Nothobranchius furzeri: one gene and its partners. The main gene of each other region encodes a partner of the protein of the gene in region 3 in a complex. Links are inferred from orthologs where the notes say so. Each region holds a gene or a part of one and is shown on either strand. Other genes may lie near its edges. The genes, in order: rbm48, rbmx2, cwc22, snrnp200, snrpf, snw1 and armc7.

The links.
Region 1: cwc22 (region 3) and rbm48 share a complex: the UniProt entries of both Homo sapiens proteins name them as parts of the minor spliceosome. The link is inferred for Nothobranchius furzeri from reciprocal best matches to the Homo sapiens genes CWC22 and RBM48.
Region 2: cwc22 (region 3) and rbmx2 share a complex: the UniProt entries of both Homo sapiens proteins name them as parts of the minor spliceosome. The link is inferred for Nothobranchius furzeri from reciprocal best matches to the Homo sapiens genes CWC22 and RBMX2.
Region 4: cwc22 (region 3) and snrnp200 share a complex: the UniProt entries of both Homo sapiens proteins name them as parts of the minor spliceosome. The link is inferred for Nothobranchius furzeri from reciprocal best matches to the Homo sapiens genes CWC22 and SNRNP200.
Region 5: cwc22 (region 3) and snrpf share a complex: the UniProt entries of both Homo sapiens proteins name them as parts of the minor spliceosome. The link is inferred for Nothobranchius furzeri from reciprocal best matches to the Homo sapiens genes CWC22 and SNRPF.
Region 6: cwc22 (region 3) and snw1 share a complex: the UniProt entries of both Homo sapiens proteins name them as parts of the minor spliceosome. The link is inferred for Nothobranchius furzeri from reciprocal best matches to the Homo sapiens genes CWC22 and SNW1.
Region 7: cwc22 (region 3) and armc7 share a complex: the UniProt entries of both Homo sapiens proteins name them as parts of the minor spliceosome. The link is inferred for Nothobranchius furzeri from reciprocal best matches to the Homo sapiens genes CWC22 and ARMC7.

What each region holds. Positions count from the first base shown.
Region 1 is NC_091759.1:22,195,839-22,200,009, forward strand, and holds rbm48 (RNA-binding protein 48), read left to right. Parts: upstream 1-1,371; 5' UTR 1,372-1,386; coding exon 1,387-1,515; intron 1,516-1,666; coding exon 1,667-1,857; intron 1,858-1,928; coding exon 1,929-2,074; intron 2,075-2,158; coding exon 2,159-2,688; intron 2,689-2,783; coding exon 2,784-2,846; 3' UTR 2,847-3,769; downstream 3,770-4,171. Other genes in the region: peroxisomal ATPase PEX1, read right to left, coding at 842-949. UniProt on the Homo sapiens protein: As a component of the minor spliceosome, involved in the splicing of U12-type introns in pre-mRNAs.
Region 2 is NC_091750.1:26,772,697-26,776,670, forward strand, and holds rbmx2 (RNA-binding motif protein, X-linked 2), read right to left. Parts: upstream 2,801-3,974; 5' UTR 2,695-2,800; coding exon 2,690-2,694; intron 1,484-2,689; coding exon 1,368-1,483; intron 1,187-1,367; coding exon 1,135-1,186; intron 1,052-1,134; coding exon 922-1,051; intron 794-921; coding exon 607-793; intron 533-606; coding exon 162-532; 3' UTR 83-161; downstream 1-82. Other genes in the region: ap4m1 (AP-4 complex subunit mu-1), read left to right, coding at 3,538-3,599, 3,673-3,758. UniProt on the Homo sapiens protein: Involved in pre-mRNA splicing as component of the activated spliceosome. As a component of the minor spliceosome, involved in the splicing of U12-type introns in pre-mRNAs.
Region 3 is NC_091754.1:30,044,086-30,047,585, reverse strand, and holds part of cwc22 (pre-mRNA-splicing factor CWC22 homolog), read right to left. Parts: intron 668-3,500; coding exon 515-667; intron 424-514; coding exon 296-423; intron 1-295. UniProt on the Homo sapiens protein: Required for pre-mRNA splicing as component of the spliceosome. As a component of the minor spliceosome, involved in the splicing of U12-type introns in pre-mRNAs. Promotes exon-junction complex (EJC) assembly.
Region 4 is NC_091757.1:37,093,425-37,097,669, reverse strand, and holds the start of snrnp200 (U5 small nuclear ribonucleoprotein 200 kDa helicase), read right to left. Parts: upstream 2,801-4,245; 5' UTR 2,571-2,800; coding exon 2,526-2,570; intron 2,372-2,525; coding exon 2,208-2,371; intron 1,801-2,207; coding exon 1,629-1,800; intron 1,548-1,628; coding exon 1,355-1,547; intron 1,250-1,354; coding exon 1,194-1,249; intron 1,102-1,193; coding exon 1,003-1,101; intron 917-1,002; coding exon 764-916; intron 685-763; coding exon 585-684; intron 494-584; coding exon 357-493; intron 280-356; coding exon 202-279; intron 124-201; coding exon 1-123. UniProt on the Homo sapiens protein: Catalyzes the ATP-dependent unwinding of U4/U6 RNA duplices, an essential step in the assembly of a catalytically active spliceosome. Plays a role in pre-mRNA splicing as a core component of precatalytic, catalytic and postcatalytic spliceosomal complexes.
Region 5 is NC_091741.1:34,923,132-34,927,250, forward strand, and holds the start of snrpf (small nuclear ribonucleoprotein F), read right to left. Parts: upstream 2,801-4,119; 5' UTR 2,664-2,800; coding exon 2,661-2,663; intron 1,538-2,660; coding exon 1,412-1,537; intron 1-1,411. UniProt on the Homo sapiens protein: Plays a role in pre-mRNA splicing as a core component of the spliceosomal U1, U2, U4 and U5 small nuclear ribonucleoproteins (snRNPs), the building blocks of the spliceosome.
Region 6 is NC_091742.1:20,657,740-20,661,301, reverse strand, and holds the end of snw1 (SNW domain-containing protein 1), read right to left. Parts: coding exon 3,469-3,562; intron 3,394-3,468; coding exon 3,252-3,393; intron 2,919-3,251; coding exon 2,813-2,918; intron 1,837-2,812; coding exon 1,719-1,836; intron 1,415-1,718; coding exon 1,251-1,414; intron 1,132-1,250; coding exon 939-1,131; 3' UTR 501-938; downstream 1-500. UniProt on the Homo sapiens protein: Involved in pre-mRNA splicing as component of the spliceosome. As a component of the minor spliceosome, involved in the splicing of U12-type introns in pre-mRNAs.
Region 7 is NC_091756.1:50,515,025-50,519,237, reverse strand, and holds the start of armc7 (armadillo repeat-containing protein 7), read right to left. Parts: upstream 2,801-4,213; 5' UTR 2,768-2,800; coding exon 2,708-2,767; intron 2,634-2,707; coding exon 2,546-2,633; intron 549-2,545; coding exon 405-548; intron 326-404; coding exon 1-325. UniProt on the Homo sapiens protein: As a component of the minor spliceosome, involved in the splicing of U12-type introns in pre-mRNAs.

The DNA of each region.
Region 1 (4,171 bases), on a different chromosome or scaffold from region 3:
GGAAAGGGAGAGAGAAAATGAATAGGGAAGCGGGAAATCAGTGGATCACGGAAATGTGGAATAAGTGCAAAGAGCAGAACAAGGAGAGGGTGGTGAAGGTCCCACCAAAGCCTGAACAGGTGACTTTTCAGCTGCTTTTTAAAGGAGACCACTGAGTCCACTGATCTCAGGCTCAGGGGGAGAGAGGTCCACAGTCTGGGGGCCACACCAGCAAATGATCTGTCACCTTTGACCTTTAGCCTGGTGCTGCACAACCAGTTGGCTTTGATCACTGGACCTCAGGGACCTGCTGGGGGTGTAGGGACTAAGAAGATCACCAATGTAAGATGGTGCTTGTCCATGTAAGGCTCTATAGACCAGAACCAGGATCTTGAAATGAACCCTGAAGTTGACTGGCAGCCAGTGAAGCTGGAGGAGAAGCGGGGTGATGTGGGTGCGTTTGGAGGACTTGGTCAGAAGCCGAGCACAGGCGTTCTGAACCACCTGTAGACGGTTCAGGGAGGTTCTGCTCAGACACGTGAAAAGAGAGTTACAGTAGTCTAAGTGTGTCTCTCTAAGTCTCTAATGCAGTAAAATAAGGCAAACATAGATGTCAAGGAAGCAATTCACCTGAAAATCCTAAAAACCAGCAGCTGTCGTTGATTAGGTAACTGTTTGCTTTGCATGTTTATAAAATCTCAAACAAAAGTACTTTCATCTGAGCATAAGACAACCCGGCTAGTCGTTTAAAAACTGTCATCTGTTTATGCTAGCACAGACATTATACATTAAAACTAAGTCTTAACGTACAGAAATGATCTAAAAAGCAGTAAATCAACATGAAATTAGTTAGCTAACCTACCTCGTTCAAGGAAAGATGCGCTACCAACTTGGAAGGGAGGTGAAGAAAGCAGTTTTTTGTGTTGTTAAAAACGACACGAACGGCTTGAATTCCCTGGTTGCTAAACATAATTTTCGCATTGCTAGCTAGCTTAGCATACACCAGGCAGAGAGAGCAATTGGATTTATCGATGTGCTCTGTGGACGATGGACTCCTCACCAGGCAAAAGTAGTTGATCTTTTGCTTTCAAAATAAAAGAGTATTCTAACAGGCAGCGCGACGGTATTCACTGAACTGTAAGCATTTATTTTGAAAGTGTTAAACCGGAAGCGCAGACGCATTCACTGAACTAAAAGCGTTTATTTTGAAAGTGTTAAACCGGAAGTGCAGACGCATTCACTGAACTAAAAGCATTTATTTTGAAAGTGTTAAACCGGAAGCGCAGACGCATTCACTGAACTAAAAGCGTTTATTTTGAAAGTGTTAAACCGGAAGTGCAGACGCATTCACTGAACTAAAAGCATTTATTTTGAAAGTGTTAAACCGGAACAGCATTTAGAATAAGCATGGCGGTCCCTGTAAACAACAGCTCCGGTTGTTGGAAAGTTCCTGACGTTCACAAACATCACGAACAGCAGAAAGTTTGCATTTCTCGACCAAAGTATCGAGAAGGAAGAAGAGCTAAAGCGGTTAAGGTGAGACAATCTTAGAAGTTATTAATTTCAGCTAAAATGTTCATAAATTCTGTAAAGAAGACACACAAGATTTGCTTTAGCTTAATTGGTAACATCATTCTAATACTGCACTGAACGCAGGAAATGTAACTTTAGTCTTGTGAATTTCCAGGTGTACACCATTAACCTAGAGTCCCGTTTCCTGATGGTACTGGGAGTCCCAGCTATCGGTGTGATGACGGAGCTGGTCCAGCTGTGTGCCCTGTATGGTGTTGTGGAGGAGTACAGACCTCTGGACGAGTATCCGGCTGAGGAGTTTACAGAAGTCTACCTCATCAAGTTCCAGAAGCTAACCAGCGCCAGGTACGATTTATTCGCTCCTCATACTTTACTGGAAATACCTGCTTAATCGTTATCGAATGTTTCTGTTTCAGAGCAGCCAAACGCAACATGGATGAGAAAAGCTTCTACGGCGGTGTGCTGCATGTGTGTTACGTCCCAGAGTATGAGACTGTAGAAGACACCAGGCTAAAGCTACAGGACCGGAGGGGTTATGTTATGAGAGCAGCTCGGAGCAGAGGTATCGTTTAACATCATGTTTGATTTAGTTCTGACCTTTAAATGTTGCTTTTCAATGCTTTAAAACAAATCTTCTCTTACAAAGCAAAAGCGGCGCACAGCGAAGGCTCCGCATCATCGACGACTGCATCAGACATAAACGTCAGACACGATCAAACCTCTAAAAAAGAATGTGCAGAGGATGCTTCAAACCACAGCCAACATGCAGAATTCCCTCCTCTCCCATTACCTCCATGGGAGCAGCATCCCTTTGGACATAACAGTCCACATGGGATCAGCGCACAGGAGGACAAAATGGGAACTTTACATGATGCCATCATAAACTTGAAACAGCCCCAAGTGGAAAAGTTAAGCGTTAACCAAGCCTCAGAGAGAGACCACGACACAGAACACAGACTGACCTCAGATCAGGCTTCAGCATTCAGGTTTCTCCCAAGGTCCTCGCACTTGGAGATCAGGAAACGCAGAATGGAAGAGGCTCCCGAGCAGTCGGCAAGTGTTTCTGGAGGAACCGAGACCCTGATTGGACCGAAATTACCAGAACCACCTAAACTGGACATGAATGATGACTCGTTGAACACAACTGCCAGCCTGATCAGGAACACAATGAAACAGGTCATTGTTGATTCAGTACTTTAATAATTTCATAAAAAGTAAATCAGCCTTAATGAAGGATTAAAACATGTGAATCTTTTTTTTTTTTTTTTCAGGTGGGATCTGCTCCGGGTTTCAAAGCTGTTGAGAAAAAGACAAAACCACGTCGTCGGATATGATCTGGACAGGTGTCTAGATGGGAGTCTTGGAAGAAAACCGACGCTCCCACTGCTTCGGAAAACTGTTTATCTCATCGGCTGTTGTATGCTATGATACCAACCTGTATAAAAAAGGTTAAAAAAAACAGCTATTATGTAAAGAGTGCACAAATTTACATTTAGAAAGCTAAAGAAATACTAATACTGTGTTTCCTATGTGCATGTTGCCGTGGCGCGCCACTACGGAAAAATAAAAGCTGCCACACCTTCAGAAGTAAACAAAAAAAAAACTTCAAACAACGTACCTTCAGAAACATTTTTTTTGGATATACATTAAAACAATAACGAGACATATATAGTCTATATTTGTGCATGTGTACTAACCATAGTCACAGTTTAAAATAAATTTTATTGCAACAAAACTTTAAACTGCAGTTCAAAAAGATCTACCGACCGCTAAATTAGCGAGGGCGCACCGGTGTGGTGAAGTCACCTGAGGACAAAACAGGTGATGCGCTTCGCTCCGCAGCAGCAAAACGCATCGGGCACAAATAAAAGACAGGAAGCATAAAAAGGACACGAGTCGACATAAACAATCGTGTGTTATACGTGGAGACACTGAGAATGTTACTGTCGCCATGCTCAGGACACCGCTCTGGTGCGCGCCAACCATCAGGAGGTGAGCGAAGGAGAGACAAGTGGAGAGGCAGAACAAGGACCAGCATGCATAAGTGAGCATGATGAGGGAGAGAGCAGCAGGGAAGCGGTAAGAGGGAAGAAAAAAGTCAGCACAGAGAATCTGGCTGGGACCCAAAATGGACAGAAATCAAGTTCCGCCCATGGCTGTAATCAAGGTGGGAATCAAGCAATACAAATTATTTCAAGGTAAATATATTTTTACATTTTTTTTATTTAATTGTAATTAAACAATAAGCTGATTTACACACCTGCGATGGACTGGCTCTCTGTTCAGGGTGGCACCAGCCCCCAACCCCCCACCCCCGCGACCCTACATGGACAAAGCGGGTTCAGACAATGGATGGATGGATGTTTTACACACACCTGCAGGAATGTTCATCGAAAAGCATACTGCTCGTGTCTCAGAGCGACCGTCTCCGCACGTCTCTCCACCACGGTTTATCAAAATCGTAGAGGAAACCCTGAGCATGTTATTTTATCTCACACTGTCAATATTTTAACTGCTAAAACTTTCTGCATATTAGGAAAATCTTGAAATCCTTCACATGGGTGCAAATTTACCACCAAACAAATAAAATGGTCACAAAAACATTAGAACAGTACTAATTAAAGAAAAATAACAGCCCAAAATAGACTTTTACAAAAAC
Region 2 (3,974 bases), on a different chromosome or scaffold from region 3:
AAATGCTTCACGAGTTCGCCAACGTGTTGCTTTGTAAAAGTCTCACCCGTCCTCAGGTGTTGGACATCAGACATGAAGTGTATCAGGTGTTCAGGTCAGATTTTAATACGAAACATTAAAACACACACACACACACCATGGATCGGCCAATCACAACCTGTCTATTTTCTATACGGCTCCCGTTTCCTGTTGTCTCCGTCTTTTCTTCTGTCTTCGTCCCACTCCCTCTCTCTTCGTCTTTTGTCTCTGTCCATCTCTTGTCTCCTATAGTCGTCTCTTCTGTCCTTGTCTCTGTCCACCTCTCTCTCACAGTTCCTCCACTTGTCTTCATTCCTGTCTGTCCCCTTTCCTCTCTCCGTGTCCCTCGTCCTCTGCCCTGCAGGCACCTCCTTGTGGTTGTACTTGTCGTAGGCGGCGTCTTGCTTCTCCTCTTTCAGTCTGAAGACTGCAGGAGGAGGAGAAGGTGATGAAGAGGGAGCTCTGCTCTTCTTCCTCTTCTCTTTCTTTTTTTTCTTCTTCTTCTCTTTCTTATCTGAGACAGAAAAGGGAAATAAGTCCACCTGGTCCTAGATCAGGTGACTTTCAGGTAACAGGAAGTGACCTCACCTTTTTTGGGCTTCTTCGCAGGTACGACGCACTGCTCTTCTTCCTCAGAGGAAGAGGGGACAACAGTAGGACCTTTGGGAGCACAGCCCTCTTCTCTGAGATGTTTGGTCACATCGTCCATGTCCTCGTTGTCTTTGGGAGGACGATAATTTTTAACGTGATCCACGCGGATAGTTCGACCTTTAATCTGAACGTTTAAACAACAACAAAAAGATTTTAGCTAATTGTCTCATCAGAGACCATGTTGATGCCGCTGTGGGCCAGCAAGGAGCGGCGCTGGGTCCACACCAGGACCTGGTGAGGACAGGAAGTCACCTTTATGCCATTGAAGTTGTCCACTGCCAGGATGGTGCTCCTCTGGTCCTCATAGCAGATGAAGCAGAACCCTTTAGACTTCCCCGTCTTCTTGTCTCTCACCAGGTTGATGTTGACGATCTCTCCGTACCTGGCAGGTTTGTCGAGAGGAGACAAACGTCACTGTCATGTCAGCTATAACGTAAAGCAGGTGAGACGTAAGCATGTACGTACTGGGAGAAGACACAGATCAGGTCTCCTTCAGTCAGCTCGAAGGGGAACCCTCCTGCAGGAAACGAGACCTCGTAAGCATCATCAGAACCAAACAAACCCACTTCAACAGTTTCATTCATGAGATCCCTTTTTATGTTGTTAATGAACAGAAGCAAATCGTCTCCAAAAGCCCAAAACACCAAACTCATCCCAACGTCTCCACGTGTGAAGGGCTGGGTTTGAGGAGTTCTCACCGATGAAGATCCAGGCACTGTCCCGGTACTCTGTGTGCCAGGAGACGGTCTCGCTGATGCCGAGGTCAGCCTCGCGCTCATTCAGCTCGTTAATCAGCTTCACCTTCGTTAGAGGACTGAAAACACACAAGTTGCTCAGTAAATCGTCCCGTTAGGGACTGGACCTGATTCTGACTCAATTGGAGTTTTATTGTGAAAAGCTGTCAGGACAATTTAGAAAGAAAAACTGCTTTTTGTTTGGACTACAGAGAAAAAGAGTCGAGCTTTTCTATTCAACCCCAACCTTGAGCCTGACCCTAATGACCCTTCAGCAGCAGCAGGCATAATCCTGTTCCTCCAGCAGGACCACGGTGTTCCTGGTCGAGCTGCTCCGTTTCACTTGTTGGCTTGATTTAAATTTGACATTTTAATTCTGAGGGCTGTTGCCTTGCAGCAAGGAGGTCCTGGGTTTACATCCCAGCCCGTCTTTCTGCATAGAGCTTGCATGTTCTCCCTGTGCATGCGTGGGTTCTCTCCGGGTACTCCGGCTTCCTCCCACAGTCCAAAAACACGACTGTCAGGTTGATTGGTCTGCCTAAATCATCCTTAGGTGGCTGTGCATGGTTGTTTGTCCTGTGTGCCTCTGGGCTGCCCTACGATGGACGATGGACTGGCAACCCATCCAGGATGTACCCCGCCTGCATGCCCAGAGACTGCTGGAGATAGGCACCAGCCCCCCAGAACCCTGTGAGGATATGCGGGTTCAGACAATGGCTGGATATACATGTAAATGTGTCCCCTTTGACTTCCGGGGTAAATACGATCGGAGTGGTGTGTTTTATTAGTCGAATGATCTTTTTTTTTGCAGCAGACGTAGAAACATTCATGAGAAAAAGATAACACCACATATGACCAAGCTTGTGGTCCTGTCTTCATCAGCAGTTGACATAAATTATTAGTCAACTTTATCAGACACACTGGTCTAGAATAAAACACGTAGTAGAAGGTCAGGGGTGTAAACAAAACAATAGCCAACCTACACATGATCAAATGTCTTCTTGAAGCATCAAAGATACATGCTACATCCCAAACACAACTGGGTGTTTATGTTTTATTACATGCTCTCTCTGGTTTTTAAGGAAAAAATGTTAAATTATCTGTTTTTTGAGCAGAATCCGATCGGCTACGAGTAGGAGCTAGCTAACAGCTAGCATGCTGCACCAGGATCAGTCATCAAACCGCAGAATAACGAACTCGCTCTTTTTACTTTAACTACACGACAAGAAGTAGAACAGTGTTGTGTCGGTGGTTCGTGTCATTTATGAATACATAAATGTACTTACTTCATAGTTAGTTACAGAAATTAGGGCACAGATCAGACGTTTTATTTGTTGAGGTAGACCACTTCCGTTTGGTTCGTCTCTGCTGCCCTCTGCAGTTTGGAGATCTAAACTACAAGCGATCATTAAACATGTGCAGATTATTTCTCTCGGGTTTATATAACACACCCAAACCATCTAGGTTGATGTATCTGAAGCAATTTCTTACGTAGCTATGAGTTCACTCATCGTGAAGTTAATAAATATAAAGTTATTAATGCAATCCTCATTCAACCTCCTGTCCACAAGGGAGCGCTGTGGGGCTACATGCTAACGGAGCCGTGTCGTAAACCGTAGCTATAACCTGAATATAAACCCAAAACCTTTCTGTCAGGTTAGCTTTGTAACCCTGCAGACAATGAGCTTATCTGGTTGTATTCAGCGTTTCTGAAAACTGCGGCCCTGTGAGTTATTAAAGTTTATCTATAGCTTACTGCTAGCCAAAGCAGCACCAGCCGTGCTTTCATTTCCTTTGAAGTTCTGTTAAAAATAGCCGCAGTAAGATCTGGTTCTTCCAGGTAGACCCCACACCTTCCGCAGGCGAGTACAGCAGCTGTAACCCCTCACAGATCCACCTTTCCGTTAGCGGAACTTCTGTAGTTTTATCTGCAGGTTCTCACCAGTACACAACAGTGCTGTTAACACTTATAATACAATAAATTAGATAGGATTTGGCTTTATTCCAACTCTGATAAACATGTTGTAACGTGACGGAAGTGGTCACTTTTATTAAATGATCAATAAGGTGTGATATTCCATATAAATATTAGTTATCATTATCATTAATCTTGTGCTTGTGATCTTCCTTTCAGGAGGATGATCTCTCAGGTCTTCATCCTGTCCTCCAAGGGGGACCATCTCATCTACAAGGACTGTATCCTTTTGCTTCCAGTCCCGTGAGACTTTACCCTATCAGGAGTTAGAGCTTAACCCAAGCCAACAATCAGACCGAGGCCAAAGAGGAAACGATGTGGTCAACATCTTCTATGAGAAGGTCACAGCGCTGACTGGAGACCAACCTCTGGTCGTCACGGTAACGCCTCCACAGTCTGGGACACATTTAGACCCAAACTGTTGTGTTGTTTTGAGTTCTGATTTGACCCAAACACGAAGAGTAGGTCAAACCAGAACCACTAGATTAGAAGTCACATCAGGATGAAGCAACGATGTTTCGGCGTCTGTTTACTGTCTGAGGAACTGGACTGAAACCATGCAGATGATTCGAGAGTCAAAAGTAAAACAAACCTGA
Region 3 (3,500 bases):
CAGTTAACAAACCACTATCAATGGCTTATTTTGATAAAACTCTTAATTTATGGCTTGTTAAGGTTAGAATTAAGGCATTAGTAATAAGCTCTTAATAAGTGCTTAATACTGACTAGATCAGACTTAGTAGTCCACTAATATGCATATAAACTGGCAGCTAATTAATGGTTAATTTGTGTTCCCCAAACTAAAGTGTTACCGAATAATTATATTATTATTATTATTTATACATCTATAGATCTATTAATGAAAAATATTTTCTGATAAATGCAGATCATAAAGTGTGTGTTCATACGAGTCTTTCAGCCGCTGGTTGAGTTTTGGCAGACCCATGTAGGCACAGAGCTCCTGGAAAAGGATTTTTACAAAAATCCTGCTGGATGACGTTGTCGTGTCCTCACTCATCCTGATGCACTCCAACACCTGGTCGTAAAGAGACAGGGAGCAGGTTTAATCAGCGTTTACTGCGTGCATGTGTGTGCGTGCGTGTGTAAATGAGTTTCTGTGTTCTTACACTCCATGGTATGGAGTCCGTGAAGAGCAGATGAGCAAACAGTCGGGCGACGTTCCTCAGTTTGTTGGTCTCCAGTCGGTGGATCGTGTCGTACTGCTCTGAAAATATCACCTCAAAACTCTCCATGTACTCCTTCTTCAACAAACAGAACCTCTGAACAAATACACACATATTTTAAATGTTCCACCTGCTTAATATTCAAGCTTCTCGCTATTTGACAGTTTAGGCAACAGCACCTAGGATTTAAACATCTCACTGCAAAATCATGATTTCAGCACTTGTTTGCTGCATTTTCACAGAATTCTCAGATTAGGCAAATGAACTCTGCTGAAGTGACTTCTGCTGCTCAGTTTGTTGATGTTACACTTCATCTCAGAGAGCAGGTGCTTGTACTTGTGTCCCAGAAGCTAAACTCAGCGAAACAACGATCAGCATTTTGCTTTAATCCGCCCTCATCTATATACTTAATTGTTAATTTATTTTATCACTCAGCAGTTTCATTCATCAATCATGCAAAATACAATCATCAACAGTCTCCTAAGTGGAAAAAAAGGGGGGAGGAAGAAGTAGTCTTGTACGACATACCCCTTTCTACTTCATACAATATAATTTACAGAATGGCCTTATACACAAAACAAGTACAAAACTTCCTTATCTTAGTAAACAAAATCACAATTAAACGTATCAATATAGATATTCAATATTTACTTATCCGTCATAGGACTCTATGACTTTTTCTTTATATAGTCTCTTAAATTGATCAGTAGTTAAACATTTTTTCAGGTCATGATCCAGATTATTCCATAATTTTACTCCATATACTGAAATACACATTTGCTTTAATGTTGTTTAAGCAAAAACTCTTTTAAACTCAGGCTTCTATTTTTTCCATCATTTAAAATCAAAACAAAAAACTTTTGTAACTTCACTGGCAGTAACCTCTTTTTTGCCCTGAACATAATTAGTAAAGTTTTCAAATTAACCAAATCCCCGACTTTCATAATTTTTGATTCATTAAAAAGTTTATTGGTATGTTCCCTAGCATCTACTTTATATATAATTCTCATTGCTTTCTTCTGTAATAAAAACAAAGGATTAGCGTTTGTTTTATATGTGTTGCCCCAAACCTCTATACAATAAGTCAAGTACGGAACAATAAATGAATAATATAATATATGAAGTGTTGATGACTCCAAAATACTTTTCTTTATTTAAAAGTCAATTCAATTCAATTCAATTTATTTTATATAGCGCCTAATCACGACAAGAGTCGTCTCAAGGCACTTCACATAATAAACATTCCAATTCAGGTCAGGTCATTAAGCCAATCAGAAAAAATGTTTCCTTTATAAGGAACCCAGCAAATTGCATCAAGTCACTGACTAGTGTCAGTCATTTTACAGCAGTCCTCATACTAAGCAAGCATGTTGCGACAGTGGAGAGGAAAACTCCCTTTTAACAGGAAGAAACCTCCAGGGGATCCTGGCTCAGTATAAGCAGCCATCCACCACGACTCACTGGGGATCGAGAAGACAGAGCACACGCACGCACGCACACACACACACACACACCAAGAAATGTGTCTATGGTGTCCAATACTTTTACACAGTTTTTGTTTTATATATTTTATATGGGGTTTCCAATTAATACTCGTCGTCGTCTTCCTCCGCTTATCCGGGTCTGGGTCGCGGGGGCAGCATCCCAACTAGGGAGCTCCAGACTGTCCTCTCCCTGGCCTTCTCCACCAGCTCCTCCGGCAGGACCCCAAGGCGTTCCCGAACCAGATTCTCCAATGTGTCCTGGGTCGACCCGGGGGCCTCCTGCCGGCAGGACATGCCCGAAACACCTCCCCGGGGAGGCATCCAGGAGGCATCCTGACCAGATGCCCAAACCACCTCAACTGGCTCCTTTCGATCCGGAGGAGCAGCGGTTCTACTCCGAGTCCCTCCCGAATGTCCGAGCTCCTCACCCTATCTCTAAGGCTGAGCCCAGCCACCCTACGGAGGAAACTCATTTCGGCCGCTTGTATCCGCGATCTCGTTCTTTCGGTCATTACCCAAAGCTCATGACCAAAGGTGAGGATTGGGACGTAGATCAACCGGTAAATTGAAAGCTTGGCTTTCTGGCTCAGCTCCCTCTTCACCACGACAGATCGGCTCAACGCCCGCATCGCTGCAGATGCTGAACCAATCCGCCTGTCGATTTCCCGATCCCTCCTACCCTCGCTCGTAAACAAGACCCCGAGATACTTAAACTCCTCCACTTGAGGTAGGACCTCTCCCCTGACCAGGAGTTGCAAGCCACCCTTTTCCGGTCGAGAACAATGGACTCAGATTTGGAGGTGCTGATCCTCATCCCAGCCGCTTCACACTCGGCCGCGAACCTACCCAGCAAGAGCTGAAGGTCAGAGCTGGATGAAGCTAGGAGGACCACATCATCCGCAAAAAGCAGAGACGAGATTCTCCTGCTACCAAACTCGACACACTCCACACCACGACTGCGCCTAGAAATTCTGTCCATAAAGATAATAAACAGAACCGGTGACAAAGTGCAGCCCTGGCAAAGTCCAACCCTCACTGGAAACAGGTCCGACTTACTACTGGCTATGTGGACCTAACTCACGCTCCTCTGGTAAAGGAAAGCCACCCACCCCATACTCCTGGAGCATCCCCCACAGGGTGCCCCTGGGGACAAGGCCATAAGCCTTCTCCAAATGCACAAAACACATGTGGATTAGTTGGGCAAACGCCCATGCCCCCTCCATCACCCTTGCAAGGGTATAGAGCTGGTCCACAGTTCCACGGCCAGGACAAAAACCACATTGCTCCTCCTCAATCTGAGATTCAACTATCGATCGGCCCCTCCTCTCCATTACCTTGGAGTAGACCTTTCCAGGGAGGCTGAGGAGTGTGATCCCCCTTTAGTTGGAACACACTCTCAGGTCACCCTTCTTAAAGAACTCCACAGGAACTGCCCCCGATGACCA
Region 4 (4,245 bases), on a different chromosome or scaffold from region 3:
ATAACCTTTGCGCTGCTTACGAAAAGAGCCATCGGGCAACTGACAACGTTTGTTGGCCATGAAGTGGCTACCCTGAGTGAACGTCAAGTCTTCGAGGTCCAGAACCTGCCGAGGGACTACCGACTGTAGGATGAGAAACACAAATGTTCTCAACACACACACACTTTTACCCGGCTACCTGGACCATGTCACACTAGTTACCTCTCCATGACCAATGTCCATTGACTCCAAGTCATCAACACGAGACTTCCTCACCCTCTCCCTGCGAGATCGCTCTTCCTGAATAACAAAAACAAAATATGGAAAATCATTTCTTGCAAAGTGGTGACAAACAGTTCAAAACCAAGATGTCTTACTCTAATAATGTCCTCTTTCTCCGTCTCTTGCAGCTGGTACAGGATCTTGGACAGCTCTTGGTCAGACTCCATCTTTCCTATGATGCGTTCCTTCTCTGCTTCGCTCTGAGCGCTCGCCAGCATGGTACAATACTGAACTGTGAGTCAGACAAGATAAAAACCAGCAACTTCAAATAAGTTGTGCAACAGAACATCATAGCCCAGCGCAATTCAACGAGCGCAACTTACTCATGCGACGGTGCTGACGGAGGATTTTAATGAAATCAAAAGTGTTGAAGCCTAAAAGCAGCACCAGCTGGTTCTCACATTCCCTGTCGTCGCTGGCGGTCTGTAGAACAAGAAAGGCATCAGGTGTCAAAAGATGCTACGTTATGCTGCGTGACTAATAAAAACAGTGAAAATCCCACCTTGAGGATTTCTAAGACTTCGTCGGCTTTCTTCTGCGAGACAATAGCATCATCATAGAAGCGGCTGAGCTGACGCTGGAGCCAAAAGGCGTCAATGTCTCGAGGGTGCAGGTCTTTTTTCTTCACCGTCATCACGCCACCCGTTTCGCTAAGCTACAACAAAACAGAATTCAATTTTTAAATCAGAGAGAAGAAAACTGTGGAAATACCACCTGAACCAACAAAAAGGCTGTACTTACATTGGTTGTAAGCCTAGTGGACACAACAGCCTCCTCTCCTTCACTGTCTTCATCCGAGTGCTCATCTCGTACTTCACCAAACTGGTCTTCATCTCCTTCCTTTATATAAGTAACAAGACGGGGGGAAAAAAAATCACTTTTTCATTTTAATCAGTTTAAATACAACTAAGACATTAATAATTAAAACGTACTTCTTCATCAGACTCAAACTGGACATTGACACCGTACGTCTCATCAATGTTGTCATCTGCAGATAAATAACAAAAGATTTAGATGATTTGATAACAGCTTAAAGAGAACATGGTCACCAAATAAACGAAACACTTTATTAAGATATTTTAAAGTAGCTTACCCATATTCTGCAGGTCCTTGTCTTCACCATAGTCTGTGATCTTCTTTCCCAGATTGACCAGCACATGATAGCGCGTGTCATCAGAAGGTCCAAGAAGCTGTTCCACTTCACGACGCCTTTCTTTGTCCCTCATTTTGTCGTTCTTGAGCACCGCTAACACCTCATCAGCTGCTCCACACAGAATATCACGCGGCTGCAGACAATTGGAGTTCACATCAGCTGTGCGTTCGCCATCAACAGTGCAAAAGTCTTAAGTGTTGTGACGTTCACTAACCTGGTCTCCTAACGCAGCATGAATGAAGCTCAGCAACACTTCGTACGTCTCTCTGGTTTCTTTGGTTTTAGGCTTGTACACAATGCCCACCATCTCATCGATGCCCTCAGACAGGAGGGTAAAGCCTTTCATTTTGTTGATATCATGTCTGTCCTCATCTCTTTTACGTCTCCTGTTGTGAGATAAAACGGGATAGTTCAGATTTTTTTCCTCTAAACTGCAATCAATCTGCTGTCTCCTACAGATTAAACATATGCAGCTGTTCCACATCAAACCCCACTTCAAACAGCAAAACTACACCTTTTAAGTATATGGTGCAATTACATGCTTCACACGTTTGTTAATGACAATTAAAGGAGGATGAAGGTCAAAGACGGTTCTTTTCATTTCATTTAAATCTGAATAATTCTATTACTGTCCTAATTGAGGTATATTTCATGTTAAATGTGATCTATTCAACGTTCAAGTAAATTATAGAATGTTTTAAATTGTATAAGAATCATACACACGAAAACACCACCTGTACCTCGATTCTAACAGGTAAATGGTTTTAAAAACATCAGTGTTAGCTGCACTGACTTGTCTCGTCTCTCTTCGAGCTTCTGGGGTTTGGTCCTCTGAGCCTTGTCACCCATCTTCGTCCCCTCCATTTTCCCCACCAGGGACACCACCTCCCCGGTGGATTCATCTCTCCGAGTGCGGTCGATCAGAGAACGATCGACTTGCAGCACCAAGTTTGAGTTCTACAAACACACAATTAAATGAGACCCATCAGTTCAGCGGGCTGAGCTGCTTCGGCTCCGGCAACACGATCCACTAAACATCATAATTAGAAATCACTAGTCACAGAAACGTTTAATAACCCCGAGTTATTATATTTACACCCAACATACTTACCGCTTTGTACTCATACTGCAGGTTACGAGCAGTAACATCCGCCATGGTGCCACTTTTCCTCCGGGGTTCACCGCTCTCTGTGAACCAGCACGCGCACTAGTGAAGTTCACAGAGCTGACGTCACTCTGTACTTTTGTTAAAACGCTGTGAACATTAGTAGCGTGTTCTAATTTCAAACATTAAACCACTTTTACTCACAAACAGAAAGTAGCGTTTTTCATACGTAACAAAAGCACGGCTAGCACGAGCGCACAACAAGTGGGCAGAAATTTCCTCTTCCGGTGTCAAAGGGAATGAAACAGACACAAAAGGTAAACAGCGCCCTCTAGAGGCTTGGTGTAAATCATTCAATTTGGATGTTATTCGATATTTTTACATGTCGATGGCTAAATCTCACGAAACCCAGATGGCAAAAGTTCTGACGTTCTCTAATGAAGTACAAGTACACATTTTTGTATAAAAATGCTCTGGTAAAAGTAAAAGTATTTAGTGACCGTCTTTATTTAGTAAAAAGTAAAAAGTACAGGCTCTAAACTGTACAAAGTCAACAAACAAAAAATAGAGAAAGGGGGACAAAAAGAAGTCTTCCTCTGAATAAAAGATGTGTCATTGATGTACCACTGATTGGTCTTTCAGATGAATTTTAATGAAACCAAGAACTATATGATGACAAAATCAAAATATTTTAGAATAGAATAGAAAATGTCCTTATTGTCCCTCCGTGGGGAAATGATTGTGTCAAAGTCACAATTACTGCTGGGTTTCCTTTGATAGGAAACTTTTAACAAGTCTCAGTGGTAAACTAAATTAATTGCACTAATTATTAGGTTCAATTGGAATGTTTACTTTGTTGTGAATTGGGAATTAATAAATAAAGTTACTGAATTGAACTGGGACCGTGTGAAGTTTTACGTAAAATAAACATAGGCGTCAGTTTAACCGGGGACGCCGGGGACATGTCCCCGGCAAAATTTGTGATTGGCAGCTGTGTCCCCCCCACTTTCAAAAAAGCCTGCTGATGAGGATTTTTGTTTTACCAGCTCAGGGGTCAGCAACCTGTTCCCATCAAAGAGCCATTATTACCCGTTTCCCACAGTAAAGAAAACACCGCAGTAGCCGCAGCGTTGTGGGCGGGGCCTACCCTCAGACAGCAGAGGGCTGCTCACAACCAGGTGACAGCAGCAGGTACAGGTCGCTCGCATGGACATCGCACCCGTGGGGGATTCAACGCCCACACTTTTCCAGCTGTTTTGCTCACCTCCACACCAGTCTGGTTTCTTTATGTCGCACTCACTCTGTTTGCCTCATCTCCTTCTTCACCTCCGCTTCTAACAGCCGATGTCGGGTTTCCAGGAGAGCAGGAGAGGGAGTGACGGAAGAGCTCGACTGAATTCATAATTTTACATCTTGACATTAGCTGTACAAAGTCTAAGTTTGATAACGTGAAGAACAACAATTTGCAGAGGTTTATAACTGGCGCGGCGCCAGGTTTTCATTTTTGGGTGGGCCATGGTAATTTTGGACGGACCTTAATAAGCAGTGACTTAAGTGAAGCAGGCAGGTCGCGCTAGAAAATTTAGTTTAAAAAGACGTCATAAACGTGTTCCCCCGTCATTTTAATTTCTAAAATATGAAGTAAAAACTCACAATTTAATTTTCATTCATTTGTCATTAATATGTAGTCTACACCCGTGCGTTAAGTGGACCATCTTCCAGTGAA
Region 5 (4,119 bases), on a different chromosome or scaffold from region 3:
CCCTCGGGGTTGCTGCAGGAGGACGCGGGTATTTATGAGAGGAAAACGAAAGTAAATAAATGTTTTGTGATCAGTATAATTCGACAAAACCACGGCAAACATGCTTTCTCGACAATCCTTGTTATTGTGTGAGAAAATAAAGTGTAGAAATTAAAACGGACGTGTGTTAATAGGGAAACAGCTGGCGAGCCATGATTGCGCATGCGCCGTGAGCGGTTCTGGTTCTGTTTGGGCCGCAGCCACTCGCAGCGCTACTTCAACAGTTATCCTAGTTTTTGTCTGGCTTGCAGGCTCGTAGATTCTCACACCGGGGGAAATTAGCTCAGGTTGTTTACTTATTTTTTGCACAGGCATTTGTTTACTGTGAAGTAAAGTTGAAGTGCTGAAGTTTTGCAAACTGATTTTGAATAAAACTTGAAGAATAACTGGCAATAGCGTACTCATTTTAAGAGGTCTTTCATATTTTATAACATGCTATTTGATATAATGGTTTACAAACACAAAAGGGTCATTTATTAGAGTACTCGATTAATCGATAAAAGATTTGATAGAGTACTCGATTAATCGATAAAAGATTTGATAGAGTACTCGATTACAAAAATATTCGATAGCTGCAGGCCTAATTCCTGCATCTATATTCTTTCCAGTGGAGGTTTATGGATTAGACTTTTAAAAAGCTGTTAGAACTTCATCAACTGCTGTTGAACTGATTTGCATTTCGCTGACAACTGGGTGCATATCCTAGATATTGTTCCCAAATATACATGCAAACATTTGAAAACACACCCTGCTTTGGGAACATTTGTATTTTACTGCTGCTGAAGGATAAATAGGCTGCTTTGTTAATATTAATAAGTAAAATTATAATTACATGAAGTTTCCTTAGACATTTTGGAGCCATGACTTTATTCACTTCAGTCTCTTTAGCAAAAATTCCCTCAAACTGATCAAACAACGCCCCCTGCTGGACACGAAGATAAACACCTTTCAGCAGTCTGACTATGATCTGAAGTTGAACTGATTAAAGAACATCAGTGAGCCCTGGTTCTGCATGTTTTAGTTCCTTACCTGCTCCAACACACCTGATTCAATAGCTTAATTCTTCTGAAGCAGCTCATTATTCGCCTAATGACTCAAATCAGGTGTGTTGAAGCAAAGAAACATAGAAAACAAGCAGGATGATGGGTCTAAAGAGCTGAATTTTCCTGGGGTACAAATTTAATTTTATCATTTATTTTGATTTGGCTTAACCAAATTTATGATAATAAAGAAGTCTGACACAGATAAAACCACACAATAAAATCATCAAGCAGTAGCAAATCCTGAGCAGGTATACAAATAATTAAATGGTTTATTTTTCCATGTGAGAAGATTCTGTGGTTTGGTTGTTAGGAGGAGAAACGGCACCCACCTGCATGTTCATGTATCCATCCACAGACACCAAGTAGCCTTTATACTCCATACCCCACTTCAGCTTCACCATCACAGGTTTTCCCGTCAGGCCGTTCAGGAAAGGCTTCGGGTTCAGAGGTAAACTCTGTAGAAGAAGAACAGAGGTCAGCAAAGCCATTACATCCCACACTACTGAAGAAAATTAAATGCATTTAACGACTACATTTCATGAATTTGTAACGCTGCTGAACAGCAGCGTACCCCCAGCCGTCCGTCCTACAACACAGATACTCCTCACTCCAACATGAAGGAAATCCGGATTCAATTAAACGTTTTTGCGTAGAATCCAAACTTTAAATCTACTGCAAAGTAAATCATTTTTATTGACTTTACTAATGAATTACTTAATGGCCAAACAGCTGTTTAACCAATCTAATTTTATTCATAAAAAACGTTTAATGAATCAGCGCAACTGATCTGTGTAATAAAACAAGCTGTTAAATCCTAATAGTGTTATTTTTCTTTAAATTGCATTATTTTGTTCAATCACTATTAAATTTTAATATGTTCTCCCATAACACAAAGGTTAATCCGGGTCAGGTGGTTTAATAAAAAGGTTTAAATGCTTTACTGCTGTTTTATTTACCTGCAGCGTCAGCCTGACGAAGTTTGCAGCCGCAAACGAAACGTTGCAGGCAAATAAAACCTTTCTGTGTTTTAAAAATAACTAAAAGATGGAATTAGAATTTCAACACAGCAAGCACACACCAAAGATGCTCTTAGCTCATTCTGAGTCGCTTGTTTTAAACCGATCATCTCTCTTAAGGCTAGCTACAGGACACCGTGGACTTAAAGGCCTGAGGAGTTAGCTCACATTATAAAGATTAAATAGCTAAAGGTCGAGAGACATATTATTAATATATATTCATTTCCTTATGGAAGCTTTTGATAAACGATCTTAGCGAAATAGTTTGGACTTTATTTTGCCAGGAAGCGAGGGGATGCTAGCGGTTGATGTAGCCTCTGCGGTCTTTTCTCTTGTTTATTAACAGTGATGAACGAGTAGACGGCTTACAACCCAAAGGGAATAAGAAACCGAAGATTTATAACACCAGTTTTGTGTTAATATGTGTTTGAGGGTGTGAAAGGTCTAGGTCGAAGTTATGAATGAAAAGCTAACATGGCTAACGCTAAACAACAAAAATACACTGAATTAAATCCTGATAGTTCATTCGCAAGACGATAAAGATATACAACGTCTTACTCACCATTTTATATCAAATTAAACAGCTTTAATAAGCTAAATCAAAAAAGTAAAATATGTTCGTCTCGATAACGTTTGCAAACCACGAAGCACGCTTTACCGCCGACCGGAAGTACAACTTTCCGACCTGGGCACGAGTCTCCGTGCTTTAAACAGCGCCTCCCAGTGGCCGGATGAGCGAACTGCTACCCAAGTGATTTAGTGTAAAGCTCCAAAAGTTTCCCCTCTTCCTCTCATTTACAGTCACCCATTGAACAGTAAACTGTGAGCTGATAAACGAAACGTGAATTAAACACCTACAATATGTATGCACGATCTCTGGGGTTGATATGTCAGTTGTTTATAGAGTATCTGCTATATGTTCGTGGCACGATACAGAAATAAAGTCCAGTCCAAAAAGTTGTATCTCCTCTACATTCACAAAAGAAAATGGCAAAAAAAATCAGTTATTAAGTCCAGGAAAAACTAGTAATAATTTTCTTCAAACTCGTTTTCATTCTCAGCAACAAGATCATGTCATCTGCCTTGAGTTGAACTCCTGCTCTATTTATGTCATGCAGGATCAGTGACTGATTGAAAACATATCGGTTTAGGAGCTAAACCTGGCACGACTGTCATAACTGGGTCATGCTTGCTCTCTGCAGCTTTGTTTTTCTCCAGGCACAAGAAGCCCGATGTTTAAAAAATGTTTTCTGCTCTGAAGCGTTTGTCTGTTACCAAAAAGTCAGGCAAGTTCAAACCTGCCATGGTGAATAAAACCGAAATCTGACTTCATTCAGCAAATGGCTGGGTTTTGTCAGAAAAATTCCTATGAAATTGCTCTGGATCTCTCTCTGCATGTTTGAAATACTTGTTTCTTTACATCACTGAGTATTTTCCCGACCTCACCTTTCCAACGTGTAATTAACCCGTCCATCAGACAGTCTGGTCTCAGTTATGGGATGGAGACGGTACGCGAGGTTTAGAGAAGTGGCCAGTCAGAGGGTGCATGAGTTGTATGAGAACTACTGTTGGCATGAGGCGTAATAAAATCTGTTACAGACAGACAGACCGACTGAACCGATAAAGAAAGCATAATATATTTTTCATGTGTTTAAAAACGTATTTAGAGCTGCAAAATGATGAAGAGACACAAATAAATTTGCAGTGTTGCAAAAACTGTAGTCACAAGAAAGTAACTCGTGCAAAGCAACCAAAAACAAAAGGGAAATTATTTATTAATTAAATATGATTTTAAAATAGCAAAATTAGTCTTACGAGGCTATAAAATAAAAAAGATGACATTTTCACCAAATGGTCACAAAGATTAGAAGTTATGAAATAAAAATCATTTAAATTAGTAACAAACAATGAAAAGAAAACTACAATTTATTCTAAAAGACCAATAAAATCAGCAAAACGACCACAAAGAGACACAAAATTACATAAAAGCGATCAAAGTTACCAGAATGACAACAATCACA
Region 6 (3,562 bases), on a different chromosome or scaffold from region 3:
CAAAGCTTGAAGCTATTATTTCTGCAGCTAATAAAAGTATCAAACTCGACACGAGTCAGGTAACATAAATCGCGCAACAAGCACCGGAACCCCGCTGAGGCGTGACTGAAAGATGACTTTACTCAGACATCTGGGTCTGCTGGGCTGTGGAACAACTCCATGATCCCCCCCCCCCCCCCCCCCCCCCCCCCACACACACACACACAAACGGGGAAAATAAAGCAGACAGGCTGCATAAACCCTGATTAATTAAACAAACAGTGATCTAATCATCACATTAACCGCAGCAACTCCTCATGCTGTGATTGATGGGCTTCTCTGAACGTGTTTAATCATCGGTTAATAGGCTGAATTACTCAGGAACTGATTTAAAGGATGGGAAACTACTAGAACCCGATAATGTGCTTTTACTGTGGTTGAAGATTTAAGCAGGTAACACCTGGAACGAGAAACAGCAGCAAGGAGAAAATGGACCGGATGTGGAAATAAGACAAAATAAAAACACTTTATATGAAATTTATTCCACTGGTTGCAACATACAAGATTTATAAAGCTCGTCTGAATGACTCCCACTCGTTTGTGACTCTGCTGGACAAACTAACTAAGGTTTTAAATAGAAGTTGCTACGAAGACGAGGGGAAAAGGGGGAAAGTGTAAATATGAAGCAGTACCGGCTCCTGCTGAGTCTGCGGTTGGGTTTGGTAAGTATTTACAAAAAAACCTAAAGCAACATTCAGCTAGAGCAGAGGAATGACAGGACTTAGCTGTAATATCAGTTTAATGTACACAACAGCACACTAACAGTTTCTCATTTCCTTCACAGCTCTTCAGCGTAGATTTAATGAGAAAAGGGAAATGAAAACTGACTAAATCGTAACGACGGACCGATGAATCCCTCTTGTGCTGAGCCACAGAAGTCATCTCCCTCTGAAGGGGTCTCACTCTTTCCTGCGTTTCTTGTCATGGTAGTCGTCCTTGGAGCGGGTGCTGGTCGAAGGCCTCTTGGAGCCGCCGTGCTGTTTGGCCTGCTCCAAGAACTTGTCCAGACCGAAGGGATCTTCCTCAAACTGGACCGGCCCGTCTCTTCTCTGGCCGTGGTTCGCACCTGAGAACTCTTTGTCTGGAGCAAACCTGATGAAAGACAAAAAAAAACAACAATCAGTCCTCATCGCCAACTCTCCTCAGGTGTCACATTATGGTGGAAATGTTTCAGCACAAGTGAGACGAGGCACGCATCAAGGTGAACGGACCTGTTGTTTTTCATGAGCGAGTCGAAGTCATCGGCGTAGGCGTCTTTGTCGATGTTCTTGCTGGGCCTGTAGATGTTGGAGGCCATGTCTCTGCCTCCGTGGAACGGCTGATCGTACACGTTGTACGTCTCATCCTCGCCACCAGCAAAACCACTATCCATCCCCTGAAACAAACGGGTAACAGCAGGAGAAACGGGTTTGATCGAAACAGGAACTTTTTAAAACTTTGCTTTGCTTTCCAAATGTGAGTTTTCAGATTTTTGGGAAAAAACTGCAAACAAATTCCATATTTATCCATCTTCTAAGACAGCAGGACGAATTATAACCTGATCTGAATTCAAACGCTTGTTGTCAATTAACTTTATTAAGATTTGTTTTCCAAATGAAATCACCAAAAATCTTCCAACGTCCGAATTGAAACTGTGTGTGCGTGTGTGTGTGTGTGTGTGTGTGTGTGTGTGTGCCAACCTTGCTCTGATTGAAGAGCCTCTGGTCGTACTGAGCCTCGCTGGTGAAACGAGGGTTGGCTTTGCCCAAAGCAATGAGCTCACTGATGTCTCTGTCCTGATCTCTCTGCAGCTTTGACCTGAAACAGAAAAAGAAAACACGGCAAACTGTCAAAAAAAACTACAGAACGGAAGTAAAATTAAACAAATCTGCCAAGAAAAAGACGTTTGTTACATAACAAAGGAAAAGGAGATTATATCAAAACATTTTTCCCTTCCGTGTCTGTAGAACTTTTATTGTTTTACAACTAATTTCAGCTGAAGTTTAAAGAACTTAAACCAGTTTAAAACATTTTCAGATTTCAAGCACGCTAAGAACCCTGGTTAAGAGTTCCTGGTCATGCTAAATATTAATCAGTTCTGGTCATCAGCGAATGAACGGTTGCATCTCCACTGAAGTTCTGAACCGGATCTTTAGCCTCACAATGAAAATATCCTCATTAACAAAACATTTAGCAAATAAATAAACAAACTCCAGGTTTATTTCCATGTTCCGACTTGTTCTTAAAGCAGAATTCAAAACAAAAACCTAGTTCAGATTGTCCCTCAATGTTTGTTTCAGTTTGTTTTACGATGAGATCTGAACCGTTTCTGGAGGAAAGTCATCTGAAACCAGATTTTTCAGCTGTTCAATTCAAAGTAAAAAGCTGAACAAATCTCCTTCAAGCTTGGTGATTCTATAGTTTGGCAGATTTAATTTGGTGTGTGTGTGTGTGTGTGTGTGTGTGTGTGTGTGTGTGTGTGTGTGTGTGTAACCAGTGTCCCTCAGCAAACCGCCACCTCTAAGTGGAGTGAAAGGTAATTTTCAGATAACAAGGTCTCTGCCCTTCTGACAGCTGGAGCTGTGACTGCAATGAGCTCTCCTGTGAATTTCACCCTCTACATTTGTCCTGCCCCCCCCCCCCCAAACCCCACCCGCACGCGCACACCCTCTCTCTCTGAACAAACACCTTGCATACAAAGCTGTTCTGATTCCGTATTAGTGCTGCTCCCATAAATGATTCAGCAGCGAGTCTGTGAAAGAGGAGTACACTTGCGGGGATGAGTGTGCCGCACCTCTTATCGGGCGCCGCCCTGGAAATGTTCCTGTCGTGCTGCCGCTCTTTCCTTCTGTCATGGCGGATCATGTCACGCTCCCTGACCTCGCTGTCCTCACCACCTGCTGTGTGTGTGTGAGAGAGGTGGTGGTGGTGGGGGGGGAATCAGAGGAGGAAGAAGGGTGTAAAATGGAGGGAGAGATGAAAAAGAGTTAAAAAAGGTGGAAAAGTGCAAAACAGAAGATGTGAAGACAGAGGGAAGTGAAGAAGGAAGAAATAAAAGATGTTTGAGCAGATGGAATGGTTATGTCTACCCCTCACAGTCATGTCAACACTAGCAGGGTGTGAATCCCTTCTGCCAGATTCAGAACTGGCACCGATGACAGAACCTCCTCTGCTGGCTCACTAATCAGCACATCCACCAAGAAAGCACTGAAATAAGTTCTGGTCTCCCGAACCTTTGTCCCCGTGGCTTTTTATCCCCGCCCTTTGGTCTCGAGCCATTTGAGCCAGCTCGCGGAGTTTCTCCTCCTTCTTCTCCTTCTCCTTCTGAGCCATCTTCTTCTCCACCTGCGCTCGCATCTCCACGGCCTCTCGAGCCTAAACACACAGCCAGCACTCGAGTTCAAACACACGTTCAAACCTCAGAAAGCACTAGAACATCCATCTTTTCACCTTTCTGTCGGCAATATAGAGCGCCTCGGCCAGCTTGGCAAAGTTCTCATTAATGTGGACGGTTTGAAGACCTCTTCCATCTGCAGCCAAACGT
Region 7 (4,213 bases), on a different chromosome or scaffold from region 3:
ATCCCGATGGCCGTCTGCACCCCCTGCATCTGCAGCTCAGCCTGTCTCACCTGCTCCTGGCTGCAGCAGTCCTGCAGGAAGACCGAGGCCAGGTTGCGCAGACGGGGGCTCTCTGCGAGTGAGAAGCGCAGCATGCACTGAACGATCCCTGGCTCTGTGATCTGAGAGCAGGTCGCTGGTGTGGTGAGGTTCATCAGGGTGGTGACGGCAGACAGCACCGTCTCCTCCCTCCGGTTTGACAGGTGGTTTGTGATCAAGCTGATCCCATCGTTCTCCAAGATGATGTCTCTGCATCCAGGGTCCATACTGAGGTTACACAGACCCCCTGTCAACACAATATTTGAGTTTAGATGATTTTTACATAAACAAACATGATTTACTGTTTTAGTTGGAGAGATGCTCACCCATCCCAAACTCCACAAAGTTCTCATTCTCTTCGGTCAACATGTCCAGGAACAGGTCAGGAACCTGCAGCTCCCTCAGGTACTCCATGTTCTTTGGGTCATATGCAAAGTTGGCTAGATTTGCCAGAACCTGCTCCTTTGCCTCTGATAAAGAGAAAAAGTAATGAAACAAACAGAGATACCTACATCCACTAATTCACCTTACACCAGCTCATTACAAACAATGATAAACAGAGGCTGCAGCACAGAAACAGTACACATTTATACCACAGGGGGCGCTTTTTACTTTCACATCAAAACACCCTTCAGGCTCAAATGTGGAGCTGACAGTATAAAAATAAGATTTGTCTGTAAACTAGAAAGGCGAGGCAGCTTTATTTGTGTAGCACATTTCATACACTGAAGCTATTCAATGTACTTTCCAGGTGCATGACCAGCATGATCATAAAAGATTAAAATCAACGTGACGACGTAAAACAGCAGCTTTTAAATTCAAATTTTAAATACTCTAATAAAATTAAATGTAAGAAATAAAATAAAAGACAAAGTTAAAGACTGAGCGCAGAAGGTACAGCATGAGAAATAATCCTTCAAAGGCTGATGAATGCATGAAAGTCTTCCATTTTGACTTAAAAGTTACTAGAGTTGGGGCACATTTCAGGTCATAAAGAAGCTGATTCCATCTGTGAGCAGCATAGTAGCTAAAAGCAGCTTCACCCTGTTTGGTTCTGACCCGAGGTTCTACCAGCTGACTGTTTCCTAAGGATCTCAGAGCCCTGCTGGGTGTATATATACAGGAAGGAGATCCAACATGTATTTTGGCCTCATTTATAAACTAGCAGTAGCACTTAGTAATCGTTTCTATAGTTTAATGGCAGCCAGTGTAGATATTTACAACTGGATGGATGGATGTGGAACTAGCGCATTATTTAATTCATCACATTATCTGGCTACTTATTTTTAACACCGTTTTTTTAAAAATAAAAACAAGCAGCTTTCTGCGGTAAAATCCAACAGAAAATGTTTACTTATGGCAGTAATCTCAAAGTGAACTAACATGTAGAATGAACAATCAGAATTTGGTTAAATAACGTCACTTTTTGGTTTCCAAATACTAAGCTTACATTTATTTCATGTCACAACGATACACTTTCAGAATAAAACTTAAAACGCTGCTTAGAATTACAGCTTATTTGATGTATTTGTTCACTTCTACCTGATTTAGTCATGTTTACAGATTCTTTTTCGAAAAATTTTAACTTCATGAAGTCATTTGCATGTATTTGTGATCTTTTTGTCTTCTGAACACAATTCTAATGCTGATAGTCAGCCTTTCTCCTATTGCAATGGATAAAAACTGGTCTAACATATATACAAATGTTCTTTTGACGATTTTTTTTCTCTCACTTCAAATAAATATACTGATGGAGAGTACAGTTTTCGACTGAACAACGGCTTCTGAAAAAGCCCTCTAACGATATAAATAATAGTGATGTGTCAGTCCGAACGAACCGGCTCTAAGAGTCGGCTCTTTGAAGTGAACAACGGGAGCCGGCTCATCATTGGGAGCCGTCCCCTCCCCTCCCCCCTCCCCTCTTGCTTTGGTGAACGCTACAGGCGATTGGTCAACATGTGTAACTGTGTGACCAGACTGTCCACACACAGAGCAGTAGGGACGGGGAAGAGGGAGAATCAGACTCAGACACACAGCAGAGCACATGCAGGTGGAGGTAGACGAGAGGGAATGAGGAGGAAAAAGGTGAGCGAGATAGAGAGGAGAGTGTGATGAAGACGGTGAGAAAATGAGCGCCAGCAGTCGGAAAGTGACAATTTCTTAAAGTGTTCAGTTATTAAATCCATAGAAATTATAAATATTTGATATATTGCATTTTTTTTTACATTAGTAAATAATTTTACATATAGTTTTGCATTATTTTGGTTATAAATGTACTCTACGAAACAGAAAATCTGAGGAGCCATTTGGGAGCCGAAAGAGCCGGCTCTTTCTGGTGAGCTGAGCCATTCCCATCACTAATAAATAATAGCATGCATCTAAACTGAGGGTGTTGAGAGTCTACGTGTTCGTTTTAAAACGGTTTTTATTTTAACTTTGTAGAACACAGATCAAAGGTTATTCCTACCTTCACTGTCAGTGTCCTGAAATTCAGTAACCAGCGTCTGTAAATATTCAAACCGTTCAGGCGCTTCAGCTGACTCATTTCTCTTCATCTTTTAGCAAAAACACATTTAACACTTCAAATAAAATTCACACAGATATCAGATTATGCTGATGTTTAAGTTACTTGACCGTTCATAGCTGATTCAGAGGTTGTTTTCATTTCACGTATGGGTCCGCGGCTCATAAGTGTTCGGAAAAACTGCGCAAGTAGATATTTGTTCCGCTGTTTTATCAAAACTTGTTTGTCCGTGAAGATGTGTTCCCCGTTCACTTTCGCATGATTTAAAGAGTAACGCATTTTTAGCTACACGAAATCGTAACATCGTTGCTATAAACTCGCCTATAACGTTATAAATGCTAGCATTGCTGTCACAATTGTGCAATGAAATACGCGAGAGCTACGCGAGCCGATGAGGAAACACATTTTAAATGGTGTACAGAGATTGATACAACACCGGCAGCTGAGCGGAAGTTAAGGAGCAGAAGGTGTGTTTGTGTTTATGTGCTCGTACAACAGCACATAACGCACGTTGCGGGAGGTCAGCTTAACAAAAACGCTATGTCGCTTTGTTTATTTAAGTAAAACAGCAACAATGAATCACCACCGGCTGTCCGCGAGAAAGCGCCTCGCCAAACCCATTTTGTTCGGAACTCTGCTGGTTGGACTCGCCACTATTTTCATTAACAGGTGAAACTGAGCTTTGCTAACTGCGTAAAAGAAACACACGCACAACACATTTCACTGTAACACCGGTGTGACGGTGAAACTGTCATTGGAGACTGAAGCAAAAATATTAAATACTATGAGTTAGCAGCAAATCGTAAACATATTTGCTTGTCGTTTATGCAGACACAGGTTCCTTGAAGACGTGGTTGAGCTCAAGGCCCAGGAGCGAGAACGCAACTATGCCAGGATGATGGAAGTCCTGGAGAGGAGGGAGAAACAGAAAGAGCTGGTGGAGAAGAAGAAGCAGCAACAGACAGGAAGTGACTGAACATATGAACTTTTTGCAGACGACTGATGCTTTACAGGCCATCAGACATTACAGTCATCCAGTAAATCAGTAAATTATAAGACTGGATGGAAGTTCAGCTGAGCAGGAACCACGCTTTTAAATTTTGACACTCGTGTTGGTCAAGCGGGAGCAGAATTAACCACCATCTACATAAATAGCCTTATTTTTAACTCGAATCATCTTTAATTTGTCTTGTTTTTTTTATCTTTGTGATTACTGTCTGTGATGGGTGTTATATAAATAAAATGTACTTACTATCTGGGAAAAACAGACTAAACCCCTAAGCCAAACAGAAACAGTGGGAGAAAAATATTACTGGATAAACGATTTTTTTTTTTATCAGGGTTGAATTAAAACCAAAGTATCAGGACTTGTATTTTGTCATTAAGGTGTATCAAGTCTGAGATATAAATTTTAACTTCATAATGGAGAGGTTAGAGAAGATTTTGAAGTTTTAATCTCAGTTCAGCTCAAATTAATATGCTAAAGTTTAAACTCCCATTACAAACAAATAAAATTCAATAAAGACTTCAATCACATCTTTTATTGGTGCATGCAATAAAGACATAAACAAAACAAACAATAATTCATATTGCACTTAAAATAACAAAAAG